Linked DNA regions of Oryzias latipes. The protein of the gene in region 5 binds, or shares a complex with, the protein of the main gene of each other region. Links are inferred from orthologs where the notes say so. Each region holds a gene or a part of one and is shown on either strand. Other genes may lie near its edges. The genes, in order: kat6a, kat5, vps72, kat6b, meaf6, jade2 and ruvbl1.

Evidence for each region.
Region 1: meaf6 (region 5) and kat6a share a complex: the UniProt entries of both Homo sapiens proteins name them as parts of the MOZ/MORF complex. The link is inferred for Oryzias latipes from reciprocal best matches to the Homo sapiens genes MEAF6 and KAT6A.
Region 2: meaf6 (region 5) and kat5 share a complex: the UniProt entries of both Homo sapiens proteins name them as parts of the nuA4 histone acetyltransferase complex. The link is inferred for Oryzias latipes from reciprocal best matches to the Homo sapiens genes MEAF6 and KAT5.
Region 3: meaf6 (region 5) and vps72 share a complex: the UniProt entries of both Homo sapiens proteins name them as parts of the nuA4 histone acetyltransferase complex. The link is inferred for Oryzias latipes from reciprocal best matches to the Homo sapiens genes MEAF6 and VPS72.
Region 4: meaf6 (region 5) and kat6b share a complex: the UniProt entries of both Homo sapiens proteins name them as parts of the MOZ/MORF complex. The link is inferred for Oryzias latipes from reciprocal best matches to the Homo sapiens genes MEAF6 and KAT6B.
Region 6: meaf6 (region 5) and jade2 share a complex: the UniProt entries of both Homo sapiens proteins name them as parts of the HBO1 complex. The link is inferred for Oryzias latipes from reciprocal best matches to the Homo sapiens genes MEAF6 and JADE2.
Region 7: meaf6 (region 5) and ruvbl1 share a complex: the UniProt entries of both Homo sapiens proteins name them as parts of the nuA4 histone acetyltransferase complex. The link is inferred for Oryzias latipes from reciprocal best matches to the Homo sapiens genes MEAF6 and RUVBL1.

Annotation. Positions count from the first base shown.
Region 1 is NC_019867.2:24,404,918-24,409,003, forward strand, and holds part of kat6a (histone acetyltransferase KAT6A), read left to right. Parts: coding exon 1-79; exon of another isoform or gene 80-140; intron 141-372; exon of another isoform or gene 373-592; coding exon 593-708; intron 709-1,405; coding exon 1,406-1,547; intron 1,548-1,695; coding exon 1,696-1,857; intron 1,858-1,956; coding exon 1,957-2,050; intron 2,051-2,158; coding exon 2,159-2,390; intron 2,391-2,564; coding exon 2,565-2,760; intron 2,761-2,847; coding exon 2,848-3,528; intron 3,529-3,602; coding exon 3,603-3,864; intron 3,865-3,944; coding exon 3,945-4,086. UniProt on the Homo sapiens protein: Histone acetyltransferase that acetylates lysine residues in histone H3 and histone H4 (in vitro). Component of the MOZ/MORF complex which has a histone H3 acetyltransferase activity. May act as a transcriptional coactivator for RUNX1 and RUNX2.
Region 2 is NC_019872.2:15,158,387-15,162,130, forward strand, and holds part of kat5 (histone acetyltransferase KAT5), read right to left. Parts: intron 2,735-3,744; coding exon 2,684-2,734; intron 2,394-2,683; coding exon 2,319-2,393; intron 2,250-2,318; coding exon 2,193-2,249; intron 1,850-2,192; coding exon 1,682-1,849; intron 1,586-1,681; coding exon 1,511-1,585; intron 1,409-1,510; coding exon 1,346-1,408; intron 1,103-1,345; coding exon 854-1,102; intron 1-853. UniProt on the Homo sapiens protein: Catalytic subunit of the NuA4 histone acetyltransferase complex, a multiprotein complex involved in transcriptional activation of select genes principally by acetylation of nucleosomal histones H2A and H4.
Region 3 is NC_019869.2:7,277,689-7,282,408, reverse strand, and holds the start of vps72 (vacuolar protein sorting-associated protein 72 homolog), read right to left. Parts: upstream 3,280-4,720; 5' UTR 2,876-3,279; coding exon 2,759-2,875; intron 1,148-2,758; coding exon 995-1,147; intron 252-994; coding exon 131-251; intron 1-130. UniProt on the Homo sapiens protein: Deposition-and-exchange histone chaperone specific for H2AZ1, specifically chaperones H2AZ1 and deposits it into nucleosomes.
Region 4 is NC_019877.2:10,227,628-10,231,713, forward strand, and holds part of kat6b (histone acetyltransferase KAT6B), read left to right. Parts: coding exon 1-28; intron 29-295; coding exon 296-455; intron 456-1,909; coding exon 1,910-2,170; intron 2,171-2,953; coding exon 2,954-3,251; intron 3,252-3,333; coding exon 3,334-4,086. UniProt on the Homo sapiens protein: Histone acetyltransferase which may be involved in both positive and negative regulation of transcription. Required for RUNX2-dependent transcriptional activation. May be involved in cerebral cortex development.
Region 5 is NC_019869.2:19,900,189-19,904,896, reverse strand, and holds the start of meaf6 (chromatin modification-related protein MEAF6), read right to left. Parts: upstream 3,259-4,708; 5' UTR 3,115-3,258; coding exon 3,025-3,114; intron 1,824-3,024; coding exon 1,708-1,823; intron 1,621-1,707; coding exon 1,533-1,620; intron 1,457-1,532; coding exon 1,411-1,456; intron 1,326-1,410; coding exon 1,136-1,325; intron 1-1,135.
Region 6 is NC_019872.2:3,879,993-3,884,078, forward strand, and holds part of jade2 (E3 ubiquitin-protein ligase Jade-2), read right to left. Parts: intron 3,650-4,086; coding exon 3,495-3,649; intron 1-3,494. UniProt on the Homo sapiens protein: Scaffold subunit of some HBO1 complexes, which have a histone H4 acetyltransferase activity. Acts as an E3 ubiquitin-protein ligase mediating the ubiquitination and subsequent proteasomal degradation of target protein histone demethylase KDM1A.
Region 7 is NC_019863.2:3,775,065-3,779,769, reverse strand, and holds the start of ruvbl1 (ruvB-like 1), read right to left. Parts: upstream 3,097-4,705; coding exon 2,956-3,096; intron 864-2,955; coding exon 777-863; intron 689-776; coding exon 556-688; intron 1-555. Other genes in the region: eefsec (selenocysteine-specific elongation factor), read left to right, coding at 3,778-4,081. UniProt on the Homo sapiens protein: Possesses single-stranded DNA-stimulated ATPase and ATP-dependent DNA helicase (3' to 5') activity; hexamerization is thought to be critical for ATP hydrolysis and adjacent subunits in the ring-like structure contribute to the ATPase activity.

The DNA.
Region 1 (4,086 bases), on a different chromosome or scaffold from region 5:
CGACAAACTCCCCGGCCACGAGAACCTGACGGAGAAGGATATCGAGCTGTTCCGACACATCCAGGAGTTGGCGTTACAGGTACGCCGAGTGAACCGAGGAGGAACAAAGCAGCATCTGGCTTTAGACAGGAAAACGGCATCTGAAAGAGCAGGAGGTGACAGGAAGTCAAGTTGGATCGCAGGTTTTTCTCTGCAAAGACACAGATCAGCTGTTGGATTCAGCATGGATAATTGATCCAGATAACAAGGACAGCTGCTTTGCCACAGGAACTCTTTTGAGTTTGGCATTCTTCTCATGACTGATAGGAAATACGGCAAGATCGGAAAGACACAGAGGCCTGACAGTTTAAGCGCACTAAATAAATGAATTACCTTGATGTCAGAGGCTTATGTGCTGCAGTAAAGTCAGGCGAAGGTGGGCGTTCTGCCAGCTATTGAACTGTGAAAGGTCAGCGTGATTATCCAGGCTTAGTGGCAGTGATTCAGAGTTACGTGTTTGTCATAAATCTTACCACAATGCTGTGAAGAGGCTCCAGGGAAATGTTCATTTCCCTGTTTTCCCCATCCTCATATTCATGCTCAACCCCAACAGAAAGTGGGCGTGACGGGTCCGCCTGACCCTCAGATGCGCTGCCCAGCCGTCATCGAGTTTGGCAAGTTTGAAATCCAGACTTGGTATTCATCTCCCTACCCGCAGGAATACAGCAGGTAAGTTAACATACTTCAAAACTGCACATCAACACAAAGCTGTTAGTGAACAGGTCTGTTAACCCAGGGGGGAGGAGGGGGTGTCACGGACCTCTGCCGGTCCGTGAGATGTAAAGGGCCACACACCAAAAAGAAAAACGTTTTTCTGTTTTATTTACTATCTCATTCTGAAGGAAGTTTAATGACATCTGACTCTTTCGTCGCTCTGTCACGTGTCAAAAAGGCATCCACTGCTTTCTTAAAGCGGCTGCGCCGTTTGCCAAATTAAAACCCCCCAAGCTAGAAAAGTTAGCAAAAAAAAAAAACATTTGGAAAGTTTCTTTTGGCAGAAAAGAGTCTGTAAGGAAAAAGAAGAGCCTTTGAAGTCAAATTAAAAAAAAAAAAAAAAGAAGTTTCCTTTAACAGAAAAACCATCAGTTATTACTGTAAATGTGGATTTATTGTGACAGTTGATCGCACACACCATGATAATAATGCATAATATGAAACTATGGGCAAAATAAAAAAAATAGACCAGTCTGTGAAAAGTGTCTGACACAATCCGGTCTGTGGCCTGAATACGGTTGGGGATCACTGTGTTACACCACCTAACAGCCAGAACTACTTAGTCAAATACTTAAGGTTGGACGTCTCTGCAAAAGACTTCAAAATGCTCCCCCTACTGTTTCTCCATGGTGTTGCATTTCTGTCATTCTAGACTTCCAAAGCTGTACTTGTGCGAGTTCTGCCTGCGCTACATGAAGAGTCGCAGCATCCTCTACCAGCACATGAAGAAGTGCAGCTGGTTCCACCCTCCTGCCAATGAGATCTACAGGAAAGACGACGTCTCCGTGTTTGAGGTGTGGAGAACGGTCGAGTCCTGCGGGCCTCAGTCTGATCTTTTTCTCTAAAGCGCAGCTCTTGTCGTTTTTAAAATCCTTTCTCACCTTTGGGATTGCCAGACGTTCCATGTGTTGTTAACTGATGCCTGTTTTCCCTGCCGACTAGGTGGACGGAAATGTGAGCACAATCTACTGTCAGAACCTGTGCCTGTTGGCCAAGCTGTTCCTGGACCACAAGACCCTGTACTACGACGTGGAGCCGTTCCTTTTCTACGTCCTCACGCAGAACGACAGCAAGGGCTGCCATCTTGTGGGCTACTTCTCCAAGGTACAACCACGAGCGCAAAGGCTTGTTGAAAGACTTAAATAAACAACATTAACACTTTCTGTATGTTTGAAATAATCATTTGTCTTTTTTTTCCCTCAGGAGAAGCACTGTCAGCAGAAATACAATGTATCATGCATCATGATTCTTCCGCAGTACCAGCGCCAGGGCTATGGGCGCTTCCTCATCGACTTCAGTACGATTTCTAACCTCAAACTCATCACTCATAGCTGAAAAAGTCTCTTATAAAAAAAAAAAAGAAGATTTTTCATTTAATCTGCTTTTGGTTTACGTTTCCTTTCAGGCTACTTGCTGTCGAAGCGGGAGGGGCAGCCCGGATCTCCGGAGAAGCCTCTGTCCGACCTGGGCCGGCTGTCCTACATGGCCTACTGGCGCAGCGTTGTGCTGGAGTGTCTTCACGAGCTGCGGGACCGACAGATCAGCATCCGGCAGCTTAGCAAAATGACAGGGATCTGCCCGCAGGACATCACCTCCAGCCTGCACAGCCTGGGCATGCTGGAACAGCGAGGAGACGGGTCAGGACCACAGCTGTGTTTTTAAATTCGTTTTTGTCACATTACTCTGAGAACAAAGATGCTGCAGCCTCTACATTAGCACATAAAAGCTCACATGAAAGGTTGACACAAAATCCCAAAGTCGCCTGACTTTTGACCTTTATTTTGAAATAACTTCATGGTTTTCCTCCTCAGACTTGTGTTGGTGCGAAGGGACAAGGTTGTGGCCAACCACATGGCCCGCTTGAAGGCGCGGCCACGACAGCTGGAGGTGGACCCTGAGTGCCTTCGCTGGACTCCAGTCATCGTGACAAACACGGTGGTCTCTGACGCCGACGGAGACGACGATGATGAGGACGAAGAGGGACCAGAGGGGGACAGTCGCAAGGATGTAGGTTTGAGTCTGCGACCACGACAAAAATGCTTTTGTAGTGCCTCATCTTTCATTTTGACGGCGTTTGTTTTGATCTGTAACCAGGTCAAACCGAGCCACAACTTTTCTTCGTCCGCCTGGCAAATCCAGCAAGCGAGAACCAAGGACGAGGAGGATGAAGACGATGAGGAAGAGGAAAGGAAGGGGTTTTTGGGGTTTCCTGTAAGTCAAAGCTCTCCGGCTTCCCCTCCCGTCCGCTCTCAAGCAGCTCTGTCCGATCACCCGCGGCCCTTTCTGCCAGCAAACGGAGAGCGCCGGCCGCGCGGCCGCCCACCCAAAAACTGGCCTTGGGGCAAACTGAACAACAGCCCACGCGTGGGGCGCCCATCCAAAATGCGGCCCATGGACGACAAGGACGACGAAGACGAGGAAACCACGGTGGAGGGGAAACCGTCGTCGAGCTCCAGGAGCCCTCCATCCCTTTTCTCCTTGGACCATCAAGCGGACTCTCCAGCCTTTCAGGGACTCAACATGGCCAGGCACCCCTCCGTAACCCCCACCCGGAGGGGCCGCCCCCCCAGAAAAAAGAGAGGCCCAAAGCCCAGACTGGCAGACGGGGAGGGTCTGATGCCGCTCTCTGTGATGTCCCGGTTGAGCGATGCGCTGCCGGTCCGACGGAGCCACTTCAGTGAAAGTAGCGAAGAGGAGGAGGATGAAGATGAGGAGGAGAACAGAGCGTGCTCCCCACCCATCCTCACAAAGACAGCCATGGGGCTCAAATGCAAGGTAAGAACCTCCTCCTTCATGTTTTTGGCTGCAGCTGGTAAGAAGTGGAATTAATCCACTGTGTTTGTGCCCAGAAGCCCCTGAAGAGGCCTCGTTTTCGCAGTCGCAGCCACCCTCAGAGCAGCGTGGTAACGGAGACCATCTCTGAAACCACAGAGGTGTTGGATGAGCCCTTTGTGGACTCTGACTCTGAGCGGCCCATGCCCCGACTGGAAGAGGAGCCCTCCCTGGGGCACCCGATGCGCCGCTATCCCCCTGCAAGATCCGCCCTGATGTTATCTGACCCTCCTTCGAAGAGAGGCCGCCTTTCCAACTTCTCCGACTCAGAGGAAGATGGTAGGAGGGCTGGCCCCTGTAACCTTGTAGGTGTACCTGAAGTCGACCTTCTAACTAACTCTGTCACGTTTCCTCCTCAGACTTCACACCAATGCTGAAGCCTGTAGCTTCTCTGGCTGCAGCTCCGTCACAAATGGCCAACGCGGATGTCCCAGTCAAGAAGAAGAAGGGTTGGCCAAAAGGAAAGAGCCGCAAACCGCTGCAGTGGAAGAAACAAGGACC
Region 2 (3,744 bases), on a different chromosome or scaffold from region 5:
GACGGGTAAAACCGGCGACTTTGGTGTAGAGAAATAGCCATCAAATCTCATCATGGTACACATGCTTTGCTGTTGGCTGACACTACAGAGAAACTCCAAACTCGAGCGTCTCATTTGACCGATTTTTGTGGGATGAAGATGGAAAACAGTCAAGCAGGATGGGAGACCGCCTGCAGATGCCAGCAGACTCTAGTAAACATTTTATGTCATGTATGACTATGGTCTCAGTTTATATTTGTCTTAAAGGGGACACAAATTTAGGGATGGGTGCCGTTTGGGTTTTATCTGTGCTGATATGTTACTTTCGAAAGTAACAGAACCATTTTTTGGGTTTTTATTTTAACTGAATTATGGAAAAAAAGATGCAATTTAAAAAAGAAAAAAAGGAGCATCACAGGTTCCTGCAGAGCCTGAATTTTTCTGAGCTGCTCATTTCTCTCAGTCAGTCTCCCTTATCCTCACCTGCACCATGTGGATGATAAATTATTATTGCAAAATTAATGCAACTGATGCTCACTGCATTGTTGAACGGGAAATGCTTTTCGTATTTTGTCAATATATAAGAACACACCTTAATAATATGTCACTGAGTCTTTAGACGGGTTCGCAGTGTAAAATCACGAGAATAGTAATTTGTTTTTTTCATTGCACAGCACTTCATTTTTGTCAGTTTAAGTTCACTGTGCCTCACAGAAGTGTTGATTTAATGACGTGAATGTTTTTTTCACAAATACTTGGTAGTAAGAAGAGGGCAGCACTTTTTATTCTTTTTAGGAACTGTTTGCTTTGTTAATGCAGTGAAACAGTAGAGGGCAGGAAAGGTGAGAAGCAAAAAAAGCCCCAAAAATCTCACCAGATGCCTCTGGAGACACTTGAGGCTTTTCAGGTACTTGAGGCAGAATTCACAGAGGTAGAGAATGGGCAGAGTGGTCAGCTCCTGTGGGTACGGCGAAAAGTACCACGGCTTGAGCCTGTGCCGGCCTAACTCGATGCACTCGATGTTTTTCATGCGGGTGATGATGTCATCGTGACTGCGATCTGACACCAGGCTGCCGGTCATGCGGGGTGCTGTCGGTATACCATCAGAACTGTCTTGGGAGTCCTAAACGAAGACAGTGGCCGTTAGTCCCAGCTGATCCTTAAAACCAAGTTACAAAACGGTTTCACAGGGTTATACTAAACAAGATTCTGTTTTGTAAAGATCAATCATAGATATTGATTTTACCAACCGAGAACAAAATTGGATCAACATTAACCAGAGTCAATCATTTATTCGAGCAATATAAACAGCTGATTTTGGACTTCAATACACAATAAATTAGCAATAACAGGTAAATGAACAGACCTCTGGTGGGGGTAGAAAGACGGCGGCACTTTGAGGCTTGTTATACTGCAACACCTTTATCATCTAGAGAACACATGGTGGCAGAATCTTAATGCAAGTAACAAAATGAAACCTTTGCACTTTGACGAGTTTTTAAAATCTTCTAAAAATCGAGCTGCTACATACCTCATCAGGACCCCCACAGTTAGCTTTCCTCTTTCTACCAGGCTGAGGGGGTATTAGACGCCGGGCGGTGCCGTTCTACAGCCAAAAGAAGACAAACAGCTGCTTATTCCTAAAACTGTAAAACCTAGAAGAGAAGTTCATGATGATTTAAGAAAAGAAGATTTGCTCCACCGTTGTGACTGTGGGAATCGGCTCAAGGTCTTCCCGCGCCTTGAAGGGGGGGGGCTCTCTTACGACAGGGAAAACAGCCGCCTGGGAGGTTTCAGTTGAGCTCGGCAGGGCGGGCACAGGGGTGGCGGGTGGTACCGGAGTCACCAGGGGAACCACCTCTTTCCTCTTCTGCAGCAAATATACATCATTACAAATCCTTTTAAAATGGGGGAAAAATAGATAAACATTTGACCAGGACATTTTTTTTTTTACTTTAACCCCTGAAAATCCTGCACAAGCAAAGGAAAATTATCCAAATGTTTTATTCACTCCTTATGACTTTACTACCGACAGAATTGTGCTCTTATCCTCTATGCAGTTAGAAGGATTCTATATATTGCATTCAATATCTAAAATTATTGAAACTTGAACAGACTACATACTTCTTTGACAGATTATAAGCTGTGTTGATAAGCAAAACCCCCCCAAAAAATGTAACAACCAACTTGTTACTAAATCCCTGCATCTTGACCTTTTTCTGTAGCGCCACGACTTTCTTCTTCTGACTCAGCTGCACTTCTAACCTGAGCTAAAGAGCGATACAGTCAAGCTAGTATGATAACAGTTCTAATTAGGTCTCAGAATGGGTAAATTCTACTTGTACCGGCGTGGGGAGGGTTTTGCCTCTGGAAGGAGCTGTGGCAGATTGGAGGTTGAGATCTAGAGTCTTCCTCTGAATTGAACACAAAGGAAGATAAGGGCATTAACTGACACGGGGTTAATGACATGCAGGATTCAGCCGCAGGTTGATATTTCGGCTCACGAACAGACTTCGACTTCATGATTGGAACAGAATTAATAGCAAATTAATAAGTCTCTTGATTGGTTTATAAATGCCGCTTGTGTTTCAGAGTTTCATTAAATCAACCGGGCTAAGCAACATATAACAAGCTTCTTTAAAACAATTTGAAAAAATTAGACATTGTTTCTTTTTAAAAACAATTATGTCTGGTGTTATATTACCTGTTTCTTCTGCAAAGCTGTGTCATTGTTTGTATCTTTCTTCTCACTCACCTCACAGGAGAAAAGCAGACATGTGTTAAGGGCTGACAGCGGGGTGTCATTACATGATACAAAAGATCCACATTTGACATATAAACAGAAAAATACTGAGACTTTGGGTTCAAGGACCAATAATATGGGATTTTTGTCTCAGTAGTGAAAAAGAAAGTAGTCCCAGTCAGCTTTAAGGGCTTAGTTAATTACACATTTAAGGAGCAAGAAAGACTGAAGAATAGAGATTTTATAGTTAATACAATTTTACATAAAGTAAACCAGGAGATCATCATTCATTTCAATGAAACAAAAACACAAAAGGCAGTGTGTGGAAAAATTGAAAACTTTGATTTACTTTTTCTTTTCCACAGATTAACAGCATTTCTTGGATCACTAGTTTGCTACCTAATCCAGTTTTTTTTAAAAAAGGTTAAGAGCAGCGTGTGTAAAAAATAAAGCAAATTTCCCAATTACTTTGTTTCAGACGCCATAATTATTGGACAAACTTTTTCATGGCCAAGAAAAATAAAGAGGTCAGCTGCAAATCTCAAAGATGAAACATTGCTAAACCAAATCATAGATGGATTCTAATCGTGGTCTTATTAATTCAAGTTTAAAAGGATAAATCAGAAATTCTCAGCCTGACTGATATAAATGCCAAAAACCTGAATGCTCAATTCTTCGCAGCCGTCTAGCAGGAATTTGGGGTTTGATTTACTCTTTATAGTGTTTTTGTGAACAATGGAATAGTGCATTTAAACAATAATACACTGCAGTGTTCCTTATTAAAAAGATTGCTTTGTAACAAACATTTTTTGGGATGAAAAATCCTAAATGAGGTCCTTAAACTCTGAGATAAGGGTTAAGCTTCCTGATGTTTTCTAACAAAAACAAACACCTGTTGGTAACCAGATGCTCAAGCAAACCCAAACTGGCTGCTACTTAAAGATTCTTCTCATTTCTAGAAAGTTATGGTCTTACCAAGTTTTTCCACACACTGCTTCAGCAGTTTAATAACTTATTCAGGA
Region 3 (4,720 bases), about 13 Mb from region 5:
AAAGAAACCTCCAAAACCTGACCTGGGATGGACTCAACCCTTTAAACGACGTGTTCAATTACAGGTGGTTCTGCTTTGTTTTTGTTTGCTTTTTTACAAAAATGAATTCAGCTTATGGTTGTGATCTTACTCTCTGCAAAGTCCTGCAGTTCTTGTGGAATCCTCCTCCTGAGCTCCACTCGGGTTTTCTCCGTCTTCCTCTGCTCTTCACTGGGTTTTTTAGGTTTGGGTTTAGCCACCTTTATGGGTTCCTTCAGTCAAAAGTAAGAAAACTAAAAACCAACACTTTCACAAGTCAATCCTAATTAAAAACATCCAAATCTTATTGGTATTTATTTCAAATCTGCTTTAATGCTGTTCTTCAAGGAGGCGAGATTTATAGCATGATTTAAGCCTAAAGTAGTCAGTCTTTGAAATGTTCCTTTATTGTAATTAATTTAAAGAAAACCAATAGTATTGATTAAAAATGTTTATATTTTCTGGATGACCTTCCACAGTGGAAGCATTTGTAAGTGTATTATCTAAATACAATAGTTTTGTTTTTCTGTACAGATTTTCAAAATAAACGTCTTTAGAATATTTGTACATCTTCCAACGATTACATCCGTTGGGTCAAGGGTCAAAAATATTCTGTGAAGATTTTAGTAACGAACAAAAAAATGAAGTCCAGTTTTTTTGTTTTTTTAAAGCAAATGCTCAAATGTTTAGTAGAATTGTCTCCTTATTTATGGGGGATTGAACAAAACAATCTGAAGAAACAAGAAAACATAACTCCGTGCTATAAAAAGGGTCATTCTGACCCTAACACTATGCAGTGAGTTAATTTCCAGATTAGAAAGACACTTAACTGACCTACAGAAGCTCAAATACATTAGTGAAACAAACATTTACTTTATCAAAAAACGCAAAAACGATAAAGAACACAATACAAGACCATTTGTTCATGAAGAAGCTTCATTTAAAGGCTGATGAAGTTGAAAGAAATACAAAATACCTTGTAAGCTTTAGTAACAACTCTGCTTTTCCTCCGAGGAGCGTCTTCCTCTTGGTCACTATCCGGCTCATCACCTTCATCAATGTCAAAGTCACTGTCAACCTCATCCTCAGTGTCTGAATGTTCCCCGTGATATTCATCATCTCCCGATTCCTGCAAAATAAAAGCCCAGATAAGAGAACAATGAAATAACTGAAAAAAGGTGGTTCTCCACACAATGGAGCAGCTGCTAAATTCGTCCAGATTTTCTCACTATTTAAAGGTTTCAAAGTTTGCTGCTCCACCCATTTTCTGAACATCATTGTCCACTTCAAGTGTGTGAGCAGCAAAATATGAACATAGATCCAGGAAATCACAAAGTTTGATTTGTTGTAAGGAATGAATTTTTATAATAGAGAAAAAATTAAGTATTTGGACAATAAATAAAGTTCACTTCAACACTTTGTAATGTAAGCCTGGTGTCAATGACAGAGGTCAAAGGTTTCCTGTTGGTCTTCACCAGGTTTGAACACACTGTAGCTAATATTTTGGTCCATTCTTCCATGCAAATCTTCTCTAGAGCAGTGATGTTTTTAGACTCCAAAGGTTCTCTACTGGACTGAGCTCCAGAGACTGGCTAGACGACTTCAGAACCTTGAAATGTCTTTTCGTAGCCGCTCTTCGGTTGCCCTGGTGCTGTTTTGGGGATTATTGCCATTATGGAAGATCTAGGCTCAAAGCATTATGTTCCCGCCCTCATGCTTCACAGTGGGTACGGTGTTCTTGGGACGCCGCTCCTCCAAACACTTCCTCCTGAGAACCAGCATATTAATTTATGACCTTTGAAGACTCCGTTTTGTCTCCCCAGGAAACCAAACTTCCCATAATTCCACCCAAACACACAAGATATTATTGGAAAGGCCAGGATATCCTTATTTGAGCACATCAGGATTTAGCTTCAAATGAGCCAAATAATAATCCAAAAACAACTTCTGCCTACAGAGGACGTAAATAAATGGGCTGGTTCTCAAGAGGATAGACCCCAAAAAAAAACATATTTTTGTCTCATCTGACCCTATGACAATCTCCAAATTTTCCTCTGGATCATCCAGATGGTCTCTGACCAACTTTAGGCAGGCCTGGACATGTGCTGACTCAAGCATAGGGACCTTTGGAGCGTCTATGATCTACGCTCCCTTCAGGTCATTGACCGGATCCCCCCCTGTGGTTCTGTCTCCATACTCTTCCCAAGATCATTTGAACCCCACAAATAAGAGATTCCATCCAACCCCAGTTGGAAAGAGACTGCCAGTGACCGTCTAATATTAGCTCCAACCGTTGATCTCCATCAGTCTGCTTGTTTATCGTAGATTGGTTCATCTCAGTCTTGCTCAGGTCTACAGTCTTGTCCCATTCGACAGCTGTTATGTTACGGGTGTCTTTTAAACAGATAAGCAGTTCAAACAGGTGACATTAATGCAGGAGAGAACAGTAGCACTCATGAAGAAGAAGTAGCAGGTCTGTTGGGGACAGAATTCTTGTGTTTGTGGAAGACAAACACATATTTTCTTCACCATTATACAAATAAATCCTACAATGTGATTTCCTGCTTCTTTTTCTAGTTTGTCTCTTACAGGTGAAGTGTACCTTAAAGTTAAACATCACAGTCCTCTCATCTTTAAAAGTGAGACAACTTTCTCCCCATATTGTTCATCTTATCCCTTATTCTCTGGGTAACAGCTCACTAGTTATTCATTCCTGCAGCCACAGGTCTGTTTGACTCACATCGTGAAATCCTCCATAGGTGGTCTTGTAGAACTCGTCCTCTTCTTCGGCGTCCAGAAGCTTCGACATGCGGTTTCCCGCAGTCTTTCTGGGTTCACGGCTTCCTGCCAGACTCATAGTACCTGCTGTTAGCTACACCGCTAGCCGGGTTAGCTTGTTGTGCAGCGGTTGTCAGTGGAACACCAGACTCACGCTTTCGTTGCGTTTTTCTGCACTAAATGAATTATGAAAGGCCGCCTGTATTTAATACATTTTTCAATTTAAGTGGCGTTTAAGCCACTCTAAGCAATATCTTCAAGTAATAAATACGAATAACTACAGCGCAAAACACTACAGAACTGTGGAAAGCACATCCGGGTGACGGAAAGCACTTCCTTCTTCTTCTTGTGATTTTATTGGCGGGAGGCACTAACGTGAAGGTGCATTACCGCCACCTACTGTGTTGGAGTGTGGGTCAGAGTGGGGATTACCTAACCAAATGTAACTTAAAAAAAAAAAAAAAAAAAAAAAAAAAATAATAATAATAATAATAATAATAAACTAAATTCTCCTCAATAACCTAGTTCTTTTCAAAAAACCTATAATCGCACCATTGAAATTCTCCTCCCCTCCCAAAAGCTTCTTTAAAGTCATTTGCTCACCCTCTATCATCCGTACCCTACTTTCCAGTTGTCGTCTTTCCTCCCTATACAGTTCACACTGACATAGCACATGCTCCACCGACTCTTCCCCTCTCCCGCACTCACACAAACCAGTTGGATGTTTCCCTATCAAATGCAATGTATTATTTAAACCAGTGTGTCCCATCCTCAACCGTGATATTATGCAGCTATCTCTGGTGTTTACTCTGACATTCATACCTCTCCCTACTCTGTCCTGAATACTAAATAGATGTCTTCCTTTCCTCTCCCTTTCCCATTGTGTCTGCCATTCTTCCATAATACGCCTCCTAACAATTGCCCTAAATTCTGTCCTATCTAATGGAATTTCCATCTCTATTCCCCGTTTCAATGCCCTTTTTGCCAGGAAGTCAGCCATTTCATTTCCCTCCACCCCCCTATGTGCTGGTACCCACATGAATCTGATGTTTATTTTCAAGTTTGCCAACCTGATCAAACTCTCATAAATTTCATATAAAATATCTGATCTGCTCTCAGAATTGTATGACTTCAGAGACATCAAAGCTGACAATGAATCTGAACAAATTATACCATCCCCAATTCTGTTCTGTTCTAGCCAGTGTAAACTATATGATATTGCCAACATTTCAACTGTAAAAACTGAAAGATCCTTTGACGTCTTAACTCCAACAGATTTGTCCAATGTAGGGATACAGAAAGAAAAACCAGTTCGCATTGTTGCTGGGTCTTTAGATCCATCTGTATATATGGGTATAAATGAAGCGTGGGCTGTGTCTAATCTGTCTGCTGTTAACTCATCCCAGTTTCCCTTCCCTTTTCTATCCTCCATTGTTCTATGGAGATACAAATCCACTTGCGCAGTTGGAAAAATCCAGAAAGGAGTGGTCGGGTACAAAAACGTCTTAACTAGGGTTTTGCCATGAATATTTGCTTTTTTCGCTAACCTAGCTAATTTCCAAGCAGCACTTTCATTTGTCCCATTATCACTTTCCCAACAAGGATCAATAGCCCTCCTAACCATGTTCTCTACATCTACACAACCCTGTATTTTCACCCAATAGTTAAGCATCAGCTGTTTAATTCTTAGTTTCAATGGTAGCTCCCCCATTTCAACTTGTAATGACACAGCAGGAGTTGACCTCATAGCCCCAGTGCATATTTTCAAAGCCTGATTTTGGATGACTTCTATTTTATGTAATAATGTTTTGCACGCTGTATTGTAAACAATAATTCCATACTCTGTGACTGACCTAATCATTGTAATATATATTTGTTTTAAAGCCTGTGCACTAGCTCCCCACCCAGTACCTTTCAAGCATCT
Region 4 (4,086 bases), on a different chromosome or scaffold from region 5:
TCGGCATGATTGACAGACGAGATGGCAGGTCAGTTTCCGAGCCTCAGTCTCCTTTAGCCCGCGCTTCTGCTGCTGCACGCCGTCTGACTTAACCAGGTCAGCAAGTATTTTTAACAGCATATCCATTATTGCAGCTGAATATTGACAGAAGTAAGTCAGGTTAAGAACCCCAAAGGATACTTGGCACCTGCGGTCCCAAAGAGCTCGTCGTCGTGTCTGTATTTAACCACGCGGCACTTTACCTCTGTGCCGTTAATTCATGCTTTTTTAAAATGTTTGAATCTGTGTGTCATAGGACTGTGTTAGTCAGAAGAGAGCGACTGATCCAGGAGCACATGGAGAGGCTGAGAGCCTGCCCACGCCAGAGAGAAGTGGATCCAAAGGCCTTACGGTGGACTCCTTCCTCCACTCTCAACCCCGTCCTGTCTGAGGAGGAGAGGGAGGTGGAGATGGATGTAGGTTTTTTTGTTCCAGAACCACGTTTGGGTTTTTTTTCTGTTCATGCTCTCCTAAAATGATGTTTATTTAGCCATTTTCAGGCATCTGATACATTTGATCACTCTCATCGACTGTGAAAGCGCTATCGCAGTTTTCTCACCAATATTCTCTCAAAAAGGAGGGGATGGAATACAAAACAAAGGTGGATGGAAGCAGTTGAAATATGTCTTTTATATATCACCCCCAAAAAAGATTGGAAATCATTTACACATCTATCCCAACACAAATGAAAGAAAAGGCCTTGGTTGTGCAGTCAAGTATTGTAATAAAACAACAGAGAGGGAGATTGAGGAGCGCTTTGTTATCTGCTTGAATCATCCAAACAGCTGGTTAATTGTCCCATTAACTCGTAGCCGCTGTGTGTGTTTATCCATTTATGTTGCTGCTGCAGATCCATGTTGAAATGAATGTGTTAAACGGACAGTACTGGTTCAGTCACAGGAAAGCACAACAGAGTGTTTGAACGCGCTTCGTTTCCCTCAGAAGGAACAAAAAAGCGAAACTAAAACGGTTTCATTTTGGTCAAAGTCCCACTCTGATCATCTTTTCTATTCTAAAAGCGTTCCCAGTGTTCTTTTAATTCGGAGTTTGTTGTTTTTAGCCAAAATTTAAAAAACCTGTGTCGTTTTCTAGGAGATAGTTTCTGCAAAGTGGCAGTAGTTAATTAGAATTTTACCCCTGAGTTTTGACAAGGAGTCTATGCCTTCATTTCCCATCATCCCTCGTTTTACACGCTCTCCCTCTAGCTTACAGCCCCCAACCTAACATTACCGGTGCAGAAATAAAAAGTAGCTAGCAATATCGGAACGTTCCAGCTGTACAGTTTTGAACCGGATACCAGCTCGGATGAGGAAAACAAAGACGTACATGGATCTGTTTGTCTACAAGTGGATGCATCAGAATGAAGTGAAGCGAGGAGCTTGGGGCTTGCCCAGTGGATATTCTGCGACACAGTTACGATCTTTTTCAGACTGGATTTTTTTCCCTCTGCTTTATCCAAATTGAGAAGAATTTGGATAAAGAAATCATCAGAAATGCAATTTTTATCTTAATTTTCCTTTATACAAGTCCTCCATTATGAGAAAAGTTCCATTTTCATCGGAGTGGGTCTTTAAGGGGGTAAAATAAGGCCAGTAATGGAAAGGCAATCTCTGTGTCACCACATAATTGATAGTACTGAATATTCCATGAAAAGCAATCTTTTAATGGTTGCTTAACAGAAATGTTTCCATCACGACCTGCAGACATCCAATCAAGGAGCTGCTCATATTAAGTGGAAAAACGTGTATTGATTCATTTGTCATGATGTTAATTCGAATCACTTGTTTTCCCATTAGCCTCGTTGCTCAGATATTCCATCCCTGCGTGCTCCTTTCCCAGAGATAATGCGTCTTGTCTGTTTAATTACCAGGCTGAGCGGCTGAAGGAGCGGGCCAGTTGCTGGGAGAAGGAGGAGAGGGAGGGCTACACCGTGACTCACGGACACAGGCAGCCTCTCACCAAGGTCCACTGCAAGATCCCCTTCCGGACCTATCAGCGGCGGCCCACTCCCACCTGGACCAGGCGAATCCAGCAGCCGGAGGCAGTAAGCGACGACGAAACCGATGAGGACTCCGATGCCTCGCCGCCCGTCCTGAAAAAAGCTCACGCGATACTGGCCGCCAAGAGAAAGGTGCCTTTTGGTGTTTGTGTGACAGATGCAGGGCATCACTGGTCTGCAGTTGTAGTCTGTGATAAAGTGGAATTGCATGACATTTGGATATTATCTTTCATTAAGGAGCACAGTGGTTACTTGAGTGAGATGGAAAGGTTTGATAAATATTCATAAATTTAGTTTAGGGTTCAGTGGCTTCCTCCTGTCATCTGCAGCCTCCCCGTGTGCCTGCAGCAGCAGATAATAGATTGTGTTTTCACTGCCGGTGTTGAGCCTGTGCAGGCTAAACCTTGTACCATTGTCAGTGGTCATGGTTAATTTACCGCCCTCTTCCCTGCGCCTCACATCTGTTCTGTCTATAAGGCACTGCCCCCTTGTGCTGGAGATAATAACACTGCCGGCTGCGCCATGTCAGGAGACCTTTTCAACAAGAGAGGCATAGAAGCCCGAAAAGAATGACACCGGCTTTTGGAGCTTATTTAGTGCATTACAGTATTGATTTCACATTTTCCTTGTGAAGGACTTTACAGCAGAAAGTGGCTGAGTTGCAGGCAGCTGGAAGGAAACAAGCGGAGAATAAAAAAGCTAGACCGTGGTCTCTGCTTACTCTGCCTTTCTCATTTGTGGTTTTGCACAGCGAGCTCCATTGCTTAAACATTTAGTCTTTCTGTGTGGTTTAAACATTTTGCACAGACTGAATATCTTCTATTCTCGCTTGTTTCTACACCTAGTGGCCTAACCAAAAGAGCGGCTCTGCTGTGCAGGAGGCGTTTATAAACCCCTCTTTGCTCTGTGTTTCAGAGAACCGCCATTCTCAAGAAGAGAGGCCGTAAAAGGAAGCAGATAAACAGCAGCGTGACGACAGAAACCATCTCTGAGACCACGGAGGTCTTGAATGAGCCGTTCGATAACTCCGACGACGAACACCCCATGCCCCGGCTAAAGCGCAGCTCAAGAGGGGACGAGATGGAAGATGACGACGATGAGGAGGAGGAGACCCGAAAGCTGAAGACTGTAACTGTGCCTATGAAGCGGCGGAGAGGTCGCCCAAGGCTGGAGAAAAACAAGCTGACGAGCAATCGCGAGTTCTGGAGTGAAGGTATTTGAGCGCGTTTTTATTTTACAGGATGTTTCTCCGTGGTAAGACTCTGAAGATCTGTTGTTCTGCCTTTGATCCGTAGATTGCCTTCTGTCTAAGAGAACAAGCAAACCTCGTCCAGTGAAGCGGAAGAAGGGCTGGCCCAAAGGAGTGAAGCGTGGCCCTCCTAAATGGAGGTTAAAGAATGAACGAAAGATGGGCTTCAAGCTGAACCTCTACACTCCTCCTGAGACACCAATGGAGGCAGAGCAGCAGCACGAGGAGGCAAAACAGGATCCAGACCAGGACTTTGGAAGTGCAGATGAAGGCAGCAAAGAAGGGAGAGGTTTTTCTAGTCCAGTCATGATGCAAGAGGAGGTCCACTGTCCACCCTCGAGTCCTCCTCAACATCTATCCCAACATCTAAGCTCCCCTGAAAGGTCCCTGGAGACGTCTCCGGTGTGTTCTCCTGCTGGCTCTGTCGATGCGGTTTCTCCTGCAGCCGTGGAAAGAGGGGACTCCACGGAGCCAGCTGAGGAGGACCAACAGGGAAGTGGACGTGAGCAAGACTCATCAGCCAAAGATTTGGATCAGAGCCCTGAGGGGGCCGTCTCCCTGAAGACCAACAGTGTTGAGGAGGTGGAGCTTCAGGATGCAGATGATGAAAGCCACAGCAAGGCAGCAGGACCCAACAGCTGCGCGGAAGACTTTGAAAATCTTCCAAAGGAGACCCCAAAATGTGCCCAGCCCTTTTTAAATCCAAAAGATAACAATGGCTCTGAGTCGAGTCCGGATGTATCTAAAGTTGTGAGCGCAGAGGAACCAGCTTCTTCTGCAGAACACCTGCAGGAGGCAG
Region 5 (4,708 bases):
TTCAGAAGATCTTCATCTGATATCAAACATTTTATGATCTTCCTGCTTCTACTGAACACAACCACAGGATGAAGATGAAGATCCAACCCAGTCCATTCGTTCAAGTTATCTTTTTTTTTTTAAATCAAACGTTTCAGCCTCAAAAGATCCTCCGGTGCTTCATCATGATCATCATTAGGGCTGCAGCTATCGATTCTTTTTGTAATCGATTAATATAGCACTTAATCGATCGATTAATCGAGTAATCGGATAAAACGATTTGTGTGCGTTTTTGAACAACCAAAACAAATAATGCATAACAAAAATGATGTGGTTGTAAAATGAACAAGCATTTGATTTTAAAGATCCGCTCTGATGCAAATGTTAAGAAGCCTTGCGGTCCGCCGAAAGGCGAGCTACCGCCTGTCCCAGCCCCTGCCTATCGGCGCCCCCTCCACGGCCCGCCGCCCCTCGCTCGCTGCCGGCGGCACGCGCGGGTAAGGCGTCGGGGTTCCAGCGGTCGCGCAGATGTCTTCTGTTCAGATGCTGAATCATGGAAGATGTGCTGTTGTGGAATGCCAGCTCTATTTTGCAGTACAGACACTGCACCTTGTTCTCTTCTTTATTAAGTGTGTAATGATCCCACACTTAAGACAATTTCTGCCGTTTATTTATAGATCTATTCTCCGCCATCGCGCCAACTAAATTCAAAAGGTCCGTGTGACACAATCAAATCCCTGCGTATAGTGCGCGTCATAGGAATGTAACGAGGCTTCGAGGCAGAGTTTTTTCCTCGAGGAAATTTTGTAATCGAGTAAGTCGAGTAACTCGAGGAATCGTTTCAGCCCTAATCATCATCATCATCATCTGTAGCCAGCTTCAGCAATCACACGAGCATTTTTTTTAGGAAATGAACGTTTTCTACTTCAACTTTTTTAGTCAGAAGAAGACGGAAAAAAAAAAAAAAAAAAAAAAAATCACCATATTTTGTAAAAATGTTCAATTATTGTAATTTTTATTAAGTGTAATCTGTTCTCTTGATCTTAATAACACAAATATATTAGTTTGCCTTGTTAAAGCTGTAAATCTCCAAATTTAAACAGAAAAGTTCTGGTGAATCTGCTGCGGCTCAGCTTTAACCCCGCCCACACCTCACCTGTGTCTGTTCTTGTTCTTCCTCTTCTTGTAGCTCCCGTGATGGCTGCCTGAGGAAGAGGAGGCGGCTTTCTGAGGCTTCAGGTCGTGCAGCGTGGAGTCCACGTCCTCCGTGTCCTCCTGACTCGGCTCGTTCTCCTGGTTCTGAAGGTCTGGAGACGCATCGCTCTCTGTGCCGCTGCCGGCCTCACCTGGGGAATCCCCCGGGAGGCAACAAGTCAGAACCGGCATTCTGAGGAGGCCCAGGCACCAGGAAAGTAGGCAAATTTGACTCACGCTTCTCGTTCATGTGATCCGGGATCCCGCCGAGCGCACACACTGCCTGCCAATCACAAGAGACCACTGAGGAGCAACTTCACATGAGATGGCTGAACGCATCACGCGCAGGAAGTACTTACTGCGACGGACGTGACAGAGGACTTGCTGAACAAACGCTCCGCTTCCTTGAACTTGCGATTCCTCCGGTCAGTCTTACTATTGGAGTTCCTGATTGATCGCAGAAAAAGAAAAGGACCCGATCAGCAAACGCACAGAAGATCTAACCTCACCGGAGTCTGCCGCATTCACACTCACTTCTGGTTGGTCAGGTATCGGTCCCACCCTCGGATGATGTTCCCGTACATCTGAGTGTCCTCCAGGTAGCTGCCCTCAAAGGCGTAAATCTGCCGCTCCAGGTTCACCAGCGTCTCCTGTGTCGTTAAAACGGTTTTACTGCAGACGTTCTGATTGGTCAAGCTAAGATCAGTGCTTATCTTTTCACAAAGATAGCTTTTTTAAAATTTATTTCATTCATTTATTTTTACCATCAAAAACTTGAAAATCCTCTTGAGGTTCTGGTAAAGATTGTTTCATTATTTAGCCACTTGAGGTAAACTTTGAATTTTTCAGCTCCAGAATTGGTCTTTCTCTTCCTAGTTGATCAACCCAATCATCTAATTTTCCAATTTATGAACTAAATTCAATGTTTATAGAAATCCACAAGACTGCAGAGTCAGTATACAACTAGAAAAACATTTTCTATCTTTGAAGTGGTAGATGATGGATACATGCATTTATACATTCCAACTAAATTCAAGAAAAATTCCATTTTGAGACTTTTTAATTGAATTTGACGCTTGTTATTGTCAATAAAGGTCAATAAATTGACGGGAAACATCTTTCAAGTACAAGCAAAACATTATTTTAAATAATGTTAAGGAGGCAAAAGTTAAAGAGTAGTCGTCCAAACAATAACAACATGTTAAAAAACGAGTATGTAAACCAAACGAGTATGTAAACCAAAAAAACTACTACTACAGTACTGGGTAATTAAGCAAATTTGTTGTTAAACGTTTTATGTTAGACAAAAAAAGTAATTTTAAGTGACGCACTAGTACTTTACAATAAAGGTCATTTTCCATTACTTAGAGTATTACTAGAAGCACAACTAGAGATGAAAACAGTAAAAGTCGCAAAAAGATAAGAAAAATAACCTATGACAGAAATGTAACGCGATTGTAACTTGGTTTTTCACTACTAAATCTTAGTAGGTTCCACTCTGTAAACAACGGTGTTGAACAATAAAGAGTTTCAAAACGTAAGGTATCGCGAGAACACACTGTTCGTGCTTCAGGTCTGTAAACTAATTTGGATTTTGTTCGTCAAAAAACGTGAAAAAATAAAACATTCAAACATGAAACGCAGAAACACAAACTTTAAATGTTTTTTTCGATGTGAGGATAAAGTGTTTTTGTTCTTGGTCGATGCTTAGTTAGGACAATTCACAATAAAGGTTTTGCGGCCTGCTAGCTCAGCTAGCATAAGCTAATGCTCGGGTATCTCAGCTTGGCGCGCTAAACCCGGGTTCCGAAAAAAAACATTTAACCCGCTGAAACAGAACTGCGGACTCACGGCGAGCTCCTGTTTCCTCTTCACCAGCTCCGCCAGCTCCCGACGCGTGTCCGGGATTTGCGGCGGGGTCGCCTTCGCGTGCATCGACATGATGGCTCGTTCCGGAACCGACGGGAGGAGGCGCGCGCGCTCAGGAAAACTGGAGACGCGTTGGTGCCGACAAAGATAAGACCGCAAGGTGGCGCCCAAGCGTTGTGAAAGGACCCTCTTCCTACCTTGTTTTATACTTGAACTGAGTTCTGGAAAGGTAAATGGAAGAAAGAGACAGTACATAACAGTAATGCCCAGTGGCTGGTCTCTCTGACAAAAGAAAATAGCAACCTCCCTGAACAGAATCCAGTAACCATCACAGTGGCAGACATACAAGAAAGAGTCTCAGGTATGAAAAACTGCACAGCACCGGGCCCTGACATGTTACATGCCTACTGACTAAAGAAGCTCACCGCACTCCACGAGCGTCTGCCAGCACAAATGAACCAGCTGCTCATGGGACTCACCCGAATGGCTAACGGAAGGGCAAACGATCCTGATCTAGACGGATCCCTCAAAGGGTGCAGTCCCAACCAACTATTGCCCAATAACCTGTCTATCCACAACATGGAAGCTCATGTCTGGCATCATTGTAACCAAGATAAATAGGCACATGGATCAATACATGAGCAAACACACAGAAGGGCATTGGTAGAGTCTTCAGAGGAGCCAAACACCAACTCCTGGTTGACAGAACAGTCACTCAAGACTGCAGGTCACGACACACCAACCTGTGCACAGCCTGGATTGATTACAAGAAGGCCTATGACTCAATGCCACACACGTGGATCACTGAATGCTTGGAGCTGTACAACATCAAAAGGACTCTTCATAGGAAATGAAGCCAATGGGAAGCCACTTGCACAAGTGTCCATCAAATTTTGGATATACCATGGTGATGCTCTGTCCCCACAGCTGTTCTGCATAGGTCTGAACCCCCTCAGCCAAATAATCAACAAGACTGGCTATGGATACCGACTCAGAAATGGGGCCAACATCAGTCACCTCCTCTACATGGATGACATCAAGCTATATGCTAAGAGCGAGCGTGACATTGACTCCCTGATCCACACCACCAGGATCTACAGTACTGACATTGGGATGTCATTCGGGCTCGAGAAATGTAGCCGGATGGTGACAAAGAGAGGCAAAGTAGTCCACACAGAAGGGGTCCCACTCCCAGAAGGAACAATGGAAGACATTGAGGAAAGTTACAAGTACCTTGGAATTCCGCAGGCAAATGGCAACCTGGAGCAGGCAACAAGGAAAGCTGCAACAGCTAAATACCTCATACAAGTAAGGCAAGTCCTGAGAAGCCAGCTCAATGGCAAAAATAAGACTCGGGCAACAAACAGCTACGCACTGCCAGTAATCAGATACCCTGCAGGAATAATAAGATGGCCAAAGGAAGAGATACAGACCATGGATGCTAACACACGAAAGCTCCTCACCATGCATGGAGGGTTCCATCCCAAATCCAGCACCCTGAGACTGTATGCTAGCCGCAAGGAAGGAGGCCGAGGACTAGTGAGCGTAGAAGCCACTATCCAGGATGAAACATCCAACATGCATGAATACATCAAGCTCAAGGCCCCAACTGACAGTGTGCTCAGTGAATGTCTCAGGCAATGGAGAGCAAAGGAAGCAGTGGAGG
Region 6 (4,086 bases), on a different chromosome or scaffold from region 5:
TGTCACCTGTTTGAACTGGTTATCTGTATAAACATACCTATGCACACCATTAAACAGTAAGACTGCAAACTGTCCACCATGATCAAAGAGCTGTCAAAGGACACCAGGGACAACATGGTAGACCTGAACGGGACTGGAATGAATCGCTCTACAATAAATAAACAGCTTGATGAGAAGAAATCAACTGTTGGAGCAGTTATTAGAAAATGGAAGAAATACAATATCACTGTTCTTCCACCTGAGCTCCATGCAAGATCTCACCTGGTGGGGTACAAATGATCTGGGGAATGGTGAGGATGAAAGCAAGAACTACATGGGAGCACTGTCCAATGAAAAGAAGAAAGCTTTGACCATAGTAAAGAGAGCTTACGATAGTAACAAACATGGCTTCAAACCAAAGGCCACATGCACAGGACCGTCTAAACGTTGCCAAAGACCATCTGGATGAACGGATCATGAATGGGAGAAAGTCATGTGGTCAAATAATATCAAAATGGAACTCTTTGGTATAATCACTTATTGGCGTGTTTGGAGGAGTTACATTCCAAAAAACAGTATCATTGAAGCATGAGGGTGGAAACATCATGGTTTGGGGCTCCTTTTAAGGAGAGGATGTACACTGAATTTTTTCTCTTGCATTGAGGATAAAACATGTCTGGATTTTCCAGCAGGACAATGATCCCAAACACATCACTCTGGCAACAACAGAGTGGCTATGTGAAAATCTTTTCAAGGTTCTTGAGTGTTCAAGCCAGTCTCTGGACCTTAATCCAATAGACGATCAGCGGAGGGAGTTTTCAAGCAAAAGCCCCAAAACATAATAGCTCTTGAGAAGATCTGTATGGAAGAATGGACCAGAGCAGCAGCTACTGTGCGAACCTACTGAAGACCTACAGAAACCTTTGACCTCTGTCATCAACAATCAGGGTTGCAAGTATTGAGGTGTACCTTTGCTATTGGTCAAAAACTTATTTTCTCCTCTATTATAAATAGATTCTTTAAAAGAAAAGTCATACTGGTTCATAGTGATTCAATAGATTCTTTTTTGACACTCCGTTTCTCACAGTTGAAGTGTTTCAATGGTAAACATTACAGCCCAAACTTACAGAATCAGTGACTGACAAATGCTTTTCTGCTCCACAGTAACAAAAGTATTGTCTCTTTAACACAGTACTTTGATGTTCTCTTAGTGTCAGAGTCTTACAATGACAAAATGATAGAATTTGATTTCATGTCAGAAAAAAACCCTTTATTTACAAAAGACACAAATGTGAACAAAGAGGACATTCTGAAAACCTGAAGATGTCCATTTTGATTCATCTGATTTTTTTTCCGCTTAACAATTTTGGGTGGTTTGAAAGAAAAGAAAAGTACAACAGTTTTATCACATTTAAATAAATTTACTGGAGCATTTTGCTCTTCTCTAACTGTAACTTACTGTGGTATAAATCCTAATCATTAACATAAAACCCTAATCTTTGATATTGTCACGATTACTCTTCTGCAACGAAAATGGGAGTTCATGCAAAATGTGTAACTGTAGCTAAAAAAAATCATTTCGATGATGAGTTCTATCCTCTGGGTAAACATTTTGAAGACGTCCCTTCCACCTATGAAGATGATGGAAAGCAGAGGCAGAAAAATGCTGAATCACCTCAATCTAAAATCTGGAGTCTCAGCCAGCAGAACCCATTAAATGTTCTGTTCTTTTTGTTTAATCTGTTGTTGAAGGTTATGAGAAACAAGTCGTTCTGCTCCAGGAAGAGCCTGTGTGTGTGTGTGTGTGTCTGTTTGATTTAAGGGACAACTTGTACCAGAAAAAGTCCTGCAACCCCAGCGGGGATTTACTAACACAATTACTTTGTTTTATCTCACGAGGGCCGATCAGATATCGAATAAAATGGTGGAGATGTGGGAGATGCTCGGGGTCAGCAGTTGTCACCATGACAAAATGGAGAGTGCAGCAAATCAGAGGGGAGGGAGAGGGGGATGGAAGGGGGAGGAATAATCAGGGACACTGCACAGTTTTTAAGACCAAATTAAAGTTGTGTAAATGTTTCTTCAGACGTTAAATTAGATTTGAATGATCTCAGAGAAGTTTTTCTTTAGAAAAAGAAGGTGTAAATCCTGTGTCTCTAGACAAATGTTACTTTTATACCTGAAACCCTCAAAAACTAGACAAACTACAGCTAAAAATGTCAGAGACATTATGTGATTAGACTCTGAGCTCAGCTTAACATCAGCATCAATTGACATTGACTTTTTTTTCCCCTTTAACTTTGACTTCTTATAGAAACAAATATGTAGTAAGTCGGTTGTCATCAAGAAAAAACAACTTTTTTCCAAAATGTCAGCTTTTCTAAAACATTTTTTTTCTCTCCATGGCAACCATTTTACTTCCCTGTTGTCTGGGAATAGAGAATTGATCCGTGTAACTCTAAAAGGAATCTGGGAATGTACATTTTGGATTTTACTTGGCAAGAGATGCCCACTCCTTCCTGTGGACAGCCCTGAAGTTTCTCCTTTATTTTTTTTAGGAGTTTTTCCTCACCGCGAAGGAGGGTCTAAGGGCAGACATGTCCAGTTTAGCTTAGTCTGTTTAGTTTAGTTTAGCCATTACCTATTGAATATTCTATGACTTCACGTTCTTTATGATTCATGTTTATTACTACACAACTACTGTAATATTGGGTTGTATAAATATAATTGAATTAAATTGAATTGAGGCTTTTTGTTAACCACGCCCACATTCATAATACTGACATTTCATGTTATATCATTTTGTACAGATTGGAAGGTTTAAGATGGCAGCCTTTTCTCAAGGTCAGAGGTCAACAAAACTCGGGGATGGTTGTACACCTAACCTTGTGGTGCGTGTGAAGGTTTATGACGTTCACTCGAACAAAAGTCCTTGTTCCCATATTGTGGAAAAATAAGAAAATCAGCCAAATTTCACACTCTACCACTAAACGGACGCCAAGCTAAATGTCCTGTGGCCATCCCATAATAATTTTTTAATTTCCATTGGACCTCCCTGTTTTGGTTTGTTTGTGGAAAAATATGTTTTTTCAGCGACATAAGACGTCATCATTTTTTTGAGGAGGTCCATCTATCTGCCCAAAATTAATTTTCCCCGGGTAGTAGGTGCGTGAAAATCTTAGTAAGTTTTTGAGTCGGAGGCAAAGGATTAAATTTTCCCTCAAACGCGCAGAGGGAAGGAAGAATTGCAAAAACAATGTGGTCCTAGCAGACCAGGACTAATGCGGGATATAAAAATAAATCCCAATAATGCCTAAAAATGAGACAGTAAGACTTTTAAAAATGTCTTTTTTTTGCAGGAACTGAAGTAAAATTTGAGATGTTTTTGCTTTAAAAGAGTTGTGAATGCATTCTTGTCCAAATTCTAACCACAAACTGCAAAAACAGGATGTATGATGCATCGAAGCATATTTATTGTTTCTTTTAAAAGTTTAAACTCGACATTTTTTACTTACCCATCTGTCTGAACTCCAGGTTGACCAGTTGCAGCCAGGCAACATCAAGGTCATCCAGGTCGTAGCAGGTGTACGGCTGAGGGCGGGAAAAATGAGACTCTCCGTCCTTTTGCCGCCCATTGTTGGACAGTTCAGCCAAGGATGCCGGCAGACACCTGAAACACATCAATAAAGTGTTTGTCTTTCTGATTCCTCAAGAAACTGACTGACTCAGCACACAAAAGTGATCTTTGGGCTTCAAGATTGAACCTCATTGAAAACAAAATTCCCTTTGGTAACAAAATGTGGGCTATTTTATGAGGTCAGAGTAGCATGAAGAGCTACACAGGACCAGTTTACTGCAAATGTCCCAAAAAAACAAAACCACAGTCTAGTATAGTTATAGTAATGATAAAAATAATTAGCAGTAGGTATATTAACATTATGCTCACATATAGTCATTATTTTGCACAATTCTAATCAATGATTTACACAACAGCAATGACAAGAAAAATATGTGTAAACATGAATCATGGATTTTTTTCTGTGTATCTGCTCAAACATGTATAAGTATTGATGGTACAAAAGATCACTTCTAACATTTTTAAAGCCA
Region 7 (4,705 bases), on a different chromosome or scaffold from region 5:
TTTTTCAAATTTAGAACACTTGTATGGACTGGGACTAGTACAGCATTCCAAATATAAAGTAATATTTATATGTGATGAACAGTTATGATATGATATAAAATCTATTTCAAATAAACACATGTAAATGATACCATGTTTACATTGTGTGCTGCACTAGCAGTAAAGACTAATATCCCTGATCTTTTAAACCAGACATGCAGCTGCAATGTTGTCATTTTGCGATTTCTTCGGGCGTACTCGGATCGTTCAGACGTCACGTGACATCGTTCGTGTACACTCGGTTCTATCTTGATAAGTCGGACGTCGGTTTCCCAAAAATGTTGAATAAAAGACCAGGTTGTCACACGGACAACCATCGTGTTCATTTGGGGTTGTCCTCCGGGAAATCTGGTTGTCTCTGACAACAGGATAACTGCTTATTTCAAACGCTGCAAAGTTGTGAAAAAACGTTTTTTCTCTGCTTTAACAAACCCTATGTCTTCATGGATATAATTCCAAAACTATCTGGCTTGGTTGCCATGGTTCCTGTTGGATAAATGGATCGATTACACTCACCAATTGCCCTCCTGAAATTCTCCATCAATACTTCTGTTTTCTTTATCTCAGACGAGTAGACCTCACTGCCCACCATGGGGCAAAACGGAACCTTGTTCCCCAGCTCCTGAGCGATGGCCAAAGCCAGGGCCGTCTAAAGGCAGAAGACACACGGCGTCACAGTAAGAGTCTGCATGAAGGACGAGCGTTAGAGTCCGCCGGCATCTTCACTGATGCTTTACCTTTCCTGTTCCAGGGGGTCCTGCCAGTAAAATGGCCCTTCCTGCCATCTTTTTGGCCTGGATCAGCTCAACAATAATGCCACAAGCCTAAAGGGTAGAGAAACCAAAGAGAAATACAACATTTAAAGTAGGGCTGCACGATATGAGGAAAACTTGCGATATGCGATATTAGTGATCAATATTGCGATAACGATAAATTTGCGGTAAATAAACAAATAGAAAAATAAACAAAAACATCATTCCCATTTCATTGCAACAGTTTAAAAATTATACTCCAAATGACCCTCATCGACATGGGGGACAAACGTCAGGGTGGCTAACCCTGGTCCTCAAGAGCCTCAACCCTGTCTGTTTTCCAGTTCTCCCTAGACTGCTCGATAATGATAACCAAAATCAGGTGTGTTCAGTCAATCAGGATGTGAAATCACTTGAGTCAGCCAATCAACAGCAAGCTGGTTAAGGAGAGCTGGAAAACAGGCAGGGTTGAGGCTCTTCAGGACCAGGGTTAACATAATAGGCCTCCATCTGATTGGTCAACAATGGGAAGGCGTCCATCTGATTGGTCAAAGCATAAAGGGATTTATTTGATTCGTTAAATGCTTCAAGCTGCTAGAAGATTGTTTTAACACATTTTGGGCTTGCGATTTATTGCGATATTCGCCGTCTTTTGCGATATGCATATTGCAGAGCTGGATATTGCGATAACGATAAATTTGCGGTATATTGTGCAGGCCTAGTTTAAAGTATAACAATGAGGAAAAAGGAAAACTGTCTTTATAACTACGATGTTGAGTAAGACTAATAAACAGAAACGTGAAAGTTGCAGGTCGATTTGTTCTTTTGTGTGCCACAGGATGTATTATCAGATACATTGATATTGTTTTGGTGATATACATTTTTGCAGGACTCAAACTGAGATTTATAAATGTCATTTCAACGTCGTATCAAATCAAATCAAACTTTATTAGTGTAGCACTTTTCCCTCTAGAGCCCCTCAAAGTGCTTTACACAAAAACATGTTCAAATTTTAAAAATTTAAAGCAAGACGTTACATTAATATTCGGTAGAAATCCCATATAATGTCGTCGTCGCCCCCCCCTCCCCACCGCCCACTCAAGTTCACAGAATATGCTACCACAGGACCCCCCCCCCCCTAAAAAAGGCTTAAGAATACCATGATACTGGCCCTTTAAAACCAGCACAGACAATCTTGTTTGGGTAGGTAAAAACACAAACGGAAATTATTATTATTATCGTTTATTTTTTTAACTTTGCCAGTGCAGTGTTGATTTTAATTTTCCTTATAATAGGATGATTCTTAGGTAAGAATTCAAAACAGTGTTTAAGTGCAATCGGTCAGTTGAAACCTCCGACGCATGTAAAAACATATTTTAACATCCACCCAATACTGCTTTTAGAATGGAATGAAATTAAAAACTGAAGTAATACATCATGAAATTAAGTTGAAAATCCTGTTATGAACTTCTTCATCAAATAAAAATAAAATAAAACGTGTTTTAGAGGCGATTATCCTGCCTTGTTCCACTTTAGAGTCTAGAAAATACACTGCGATCTATATAATGTATTAGAGTTTTCTTTGCATTTTTAATTATTTAGCAGCCATAATGTAACAATAGCAAACAAAAAACACAAAAAAAATAATATGATGACTGTTTATTATGGTTCCAACAATTTTCCATTATAAAGAAATAACTGTCAGTGCTGTTAGTTCCATCCAATAAATAAAATTAAATAATCTACAGATCACATTTGACTTTATGACGGTTTTGATGTAGATTCTTTGTCGACTTACAAATGTGTAATAAGAAATATACCTTAGTTTGAGTTTCACATTTCGTTTTTCTTTCCCAATAAAATAAAAATTGTACCTGTATGATGGAAATATAATCAAGAGATTTCAATTCATTTTTTTAAATTTAATTTAAGAAATATATTAAATGAAATAAAAAAAATAAATCGCTACTTTGGAAACTGTGTGTTAATTTAACTAAGGAGGAGTCTCGCAGGTTATCTGAGAAGAAAACTACGCAGCTGTGCTAACTCAGTTAGCATCAGGGGTTAGCAATTTGCTACCGTGTTCTCATAGGAACTTATGTGCAAGTAATGTCTGAAGGAAAATAAAATACAATTGAAACAGAAAAAAGATGATTAACATCACCTCTCTGGCAGCCTCCTGTCCGACCAGTCCGCATGCTGTCTGTTTAGCATTGCCGGCCTCGTCTAGCCCGAGTCCCTTGACGTGACTGTGTGAAGCTATTCGCTGGGTCTTTGTGGTGCTTTTTACCTCCTCGATTTTCATATTTGCAAGTGTTACAGGAGCACTGGCTATAATACTGTCCAAGCCGCAAAGTAAAGTTTAAAAAATGTCACCTAAGTGTCTGCGTTTCTCTGACCACTACATGAGGCGCCAAAAGTCAAAACACGGTTTCCATGTGGGTTACCAGGGGAAAAAAGCAGGAATCGACACCCCTGAGGTACCGCCCATTTTAACTAGTCTGAAAACCATTGGTTTTCCTCATGATAAGAGCATTTCTGATTAGTCAATGTTCTGTCAATCAAAGTTGAAACCACACCCCTGTTTCCTCCTGTGCTTCGTTTTATTTTGTTGTAATAGAAACACACAAAAAAGGCCTCAGTATAAAAAACACTAATTGATCGATAATTTAAAATATTTATTTTATACATAGAAATATATTTCTGTGTTATATTTTTTTATTAAATTGTAATATTTAAATATCACATTTTTCTTATTTTGGTTTGTTCCCCGCATATAAACGTTCCGGTTCGTCTTGTAATCGGGGACGAAATAAAGTGTAAGCACCATAAACTCTGCAGTTTTTTAGGGACACTTTAGGCACCGAAAATGACTTGTTGATTTGACCAACTAACGCAGTGAACGTTATTTTTTTTCCAAATAACTATCAACGCGGTGCTCAGGTTTCAAGGTAGGAAAACGTTCGTGCTCGGAAACTTCGAGAGGATGTCCGAGTCTCATGACAGCCGCACGAAAACGTTAAATTTCAACGTGGGGGTCCTCGGACATGTCGACAGCGGGAAGACGTCGCTGGCCAGAGCGCTGAGCAGCACCGCCTCCACGGCTGCTTTCGACAAGAACCCACAGTCCCGGGAGAGAGGCATCACGTTAGACCTCGGCTTCTCCTCCTTCACGGTGGATTGTCCGGATCACCTGCGGGACGGCGGGGGCCTGAAGCCGTACGACAGTCTGCAGTTTACCCTGGTGGACTGTCCAGGCCACGCCTCTCTGATCCGAACAATTATCGGAGGTAACGTAAACCTGTGGAAGATCATGGATGGACTGAGCATCATGAAGGGTCAGGGGCTCAAGGTCCAACATTCCCAAGCCCTCCGAGGCATTCAGACAGTATGCAATGGTGGCAAAGGCTGTTCTGTTATATGATTGATTGATTGATTGATTGATTGATTGATTGATTGATTGATTGATTGATCACATCAGAACACACTGACATCCAGTGTCTGGTAGGGAACAGTTACATGGCCAATCTTATAGAGACTATAATATAGTCATTTACTTTTGACCAAAAACAGAGAACTTTTTCAAGCGGAATAAAATAAGAATAAAAATACAAAAATATGATGCAAAGAAACTAAAACAAGGGATTTATTTGGATGACTATTGTGGCAGTTTTCCAGGTTTTCATGGTTTTTATTGAGTTAAAATATATCATGAATTCATTTCAAAAACATGGACAGGATGGTTTTCTGCCTCTCTATTTACTACAACGAATGTGATATTTACCAAGTAATAAATATTATTCATAACATTTGAGAATTAATCATCTACATGTTCTATAAATCTTCATATGTTTGAAGAACTGATCAAGGGAAAGCAAAGTGTTGGATGAGTCCAACTCCTAATGTTTATCCTG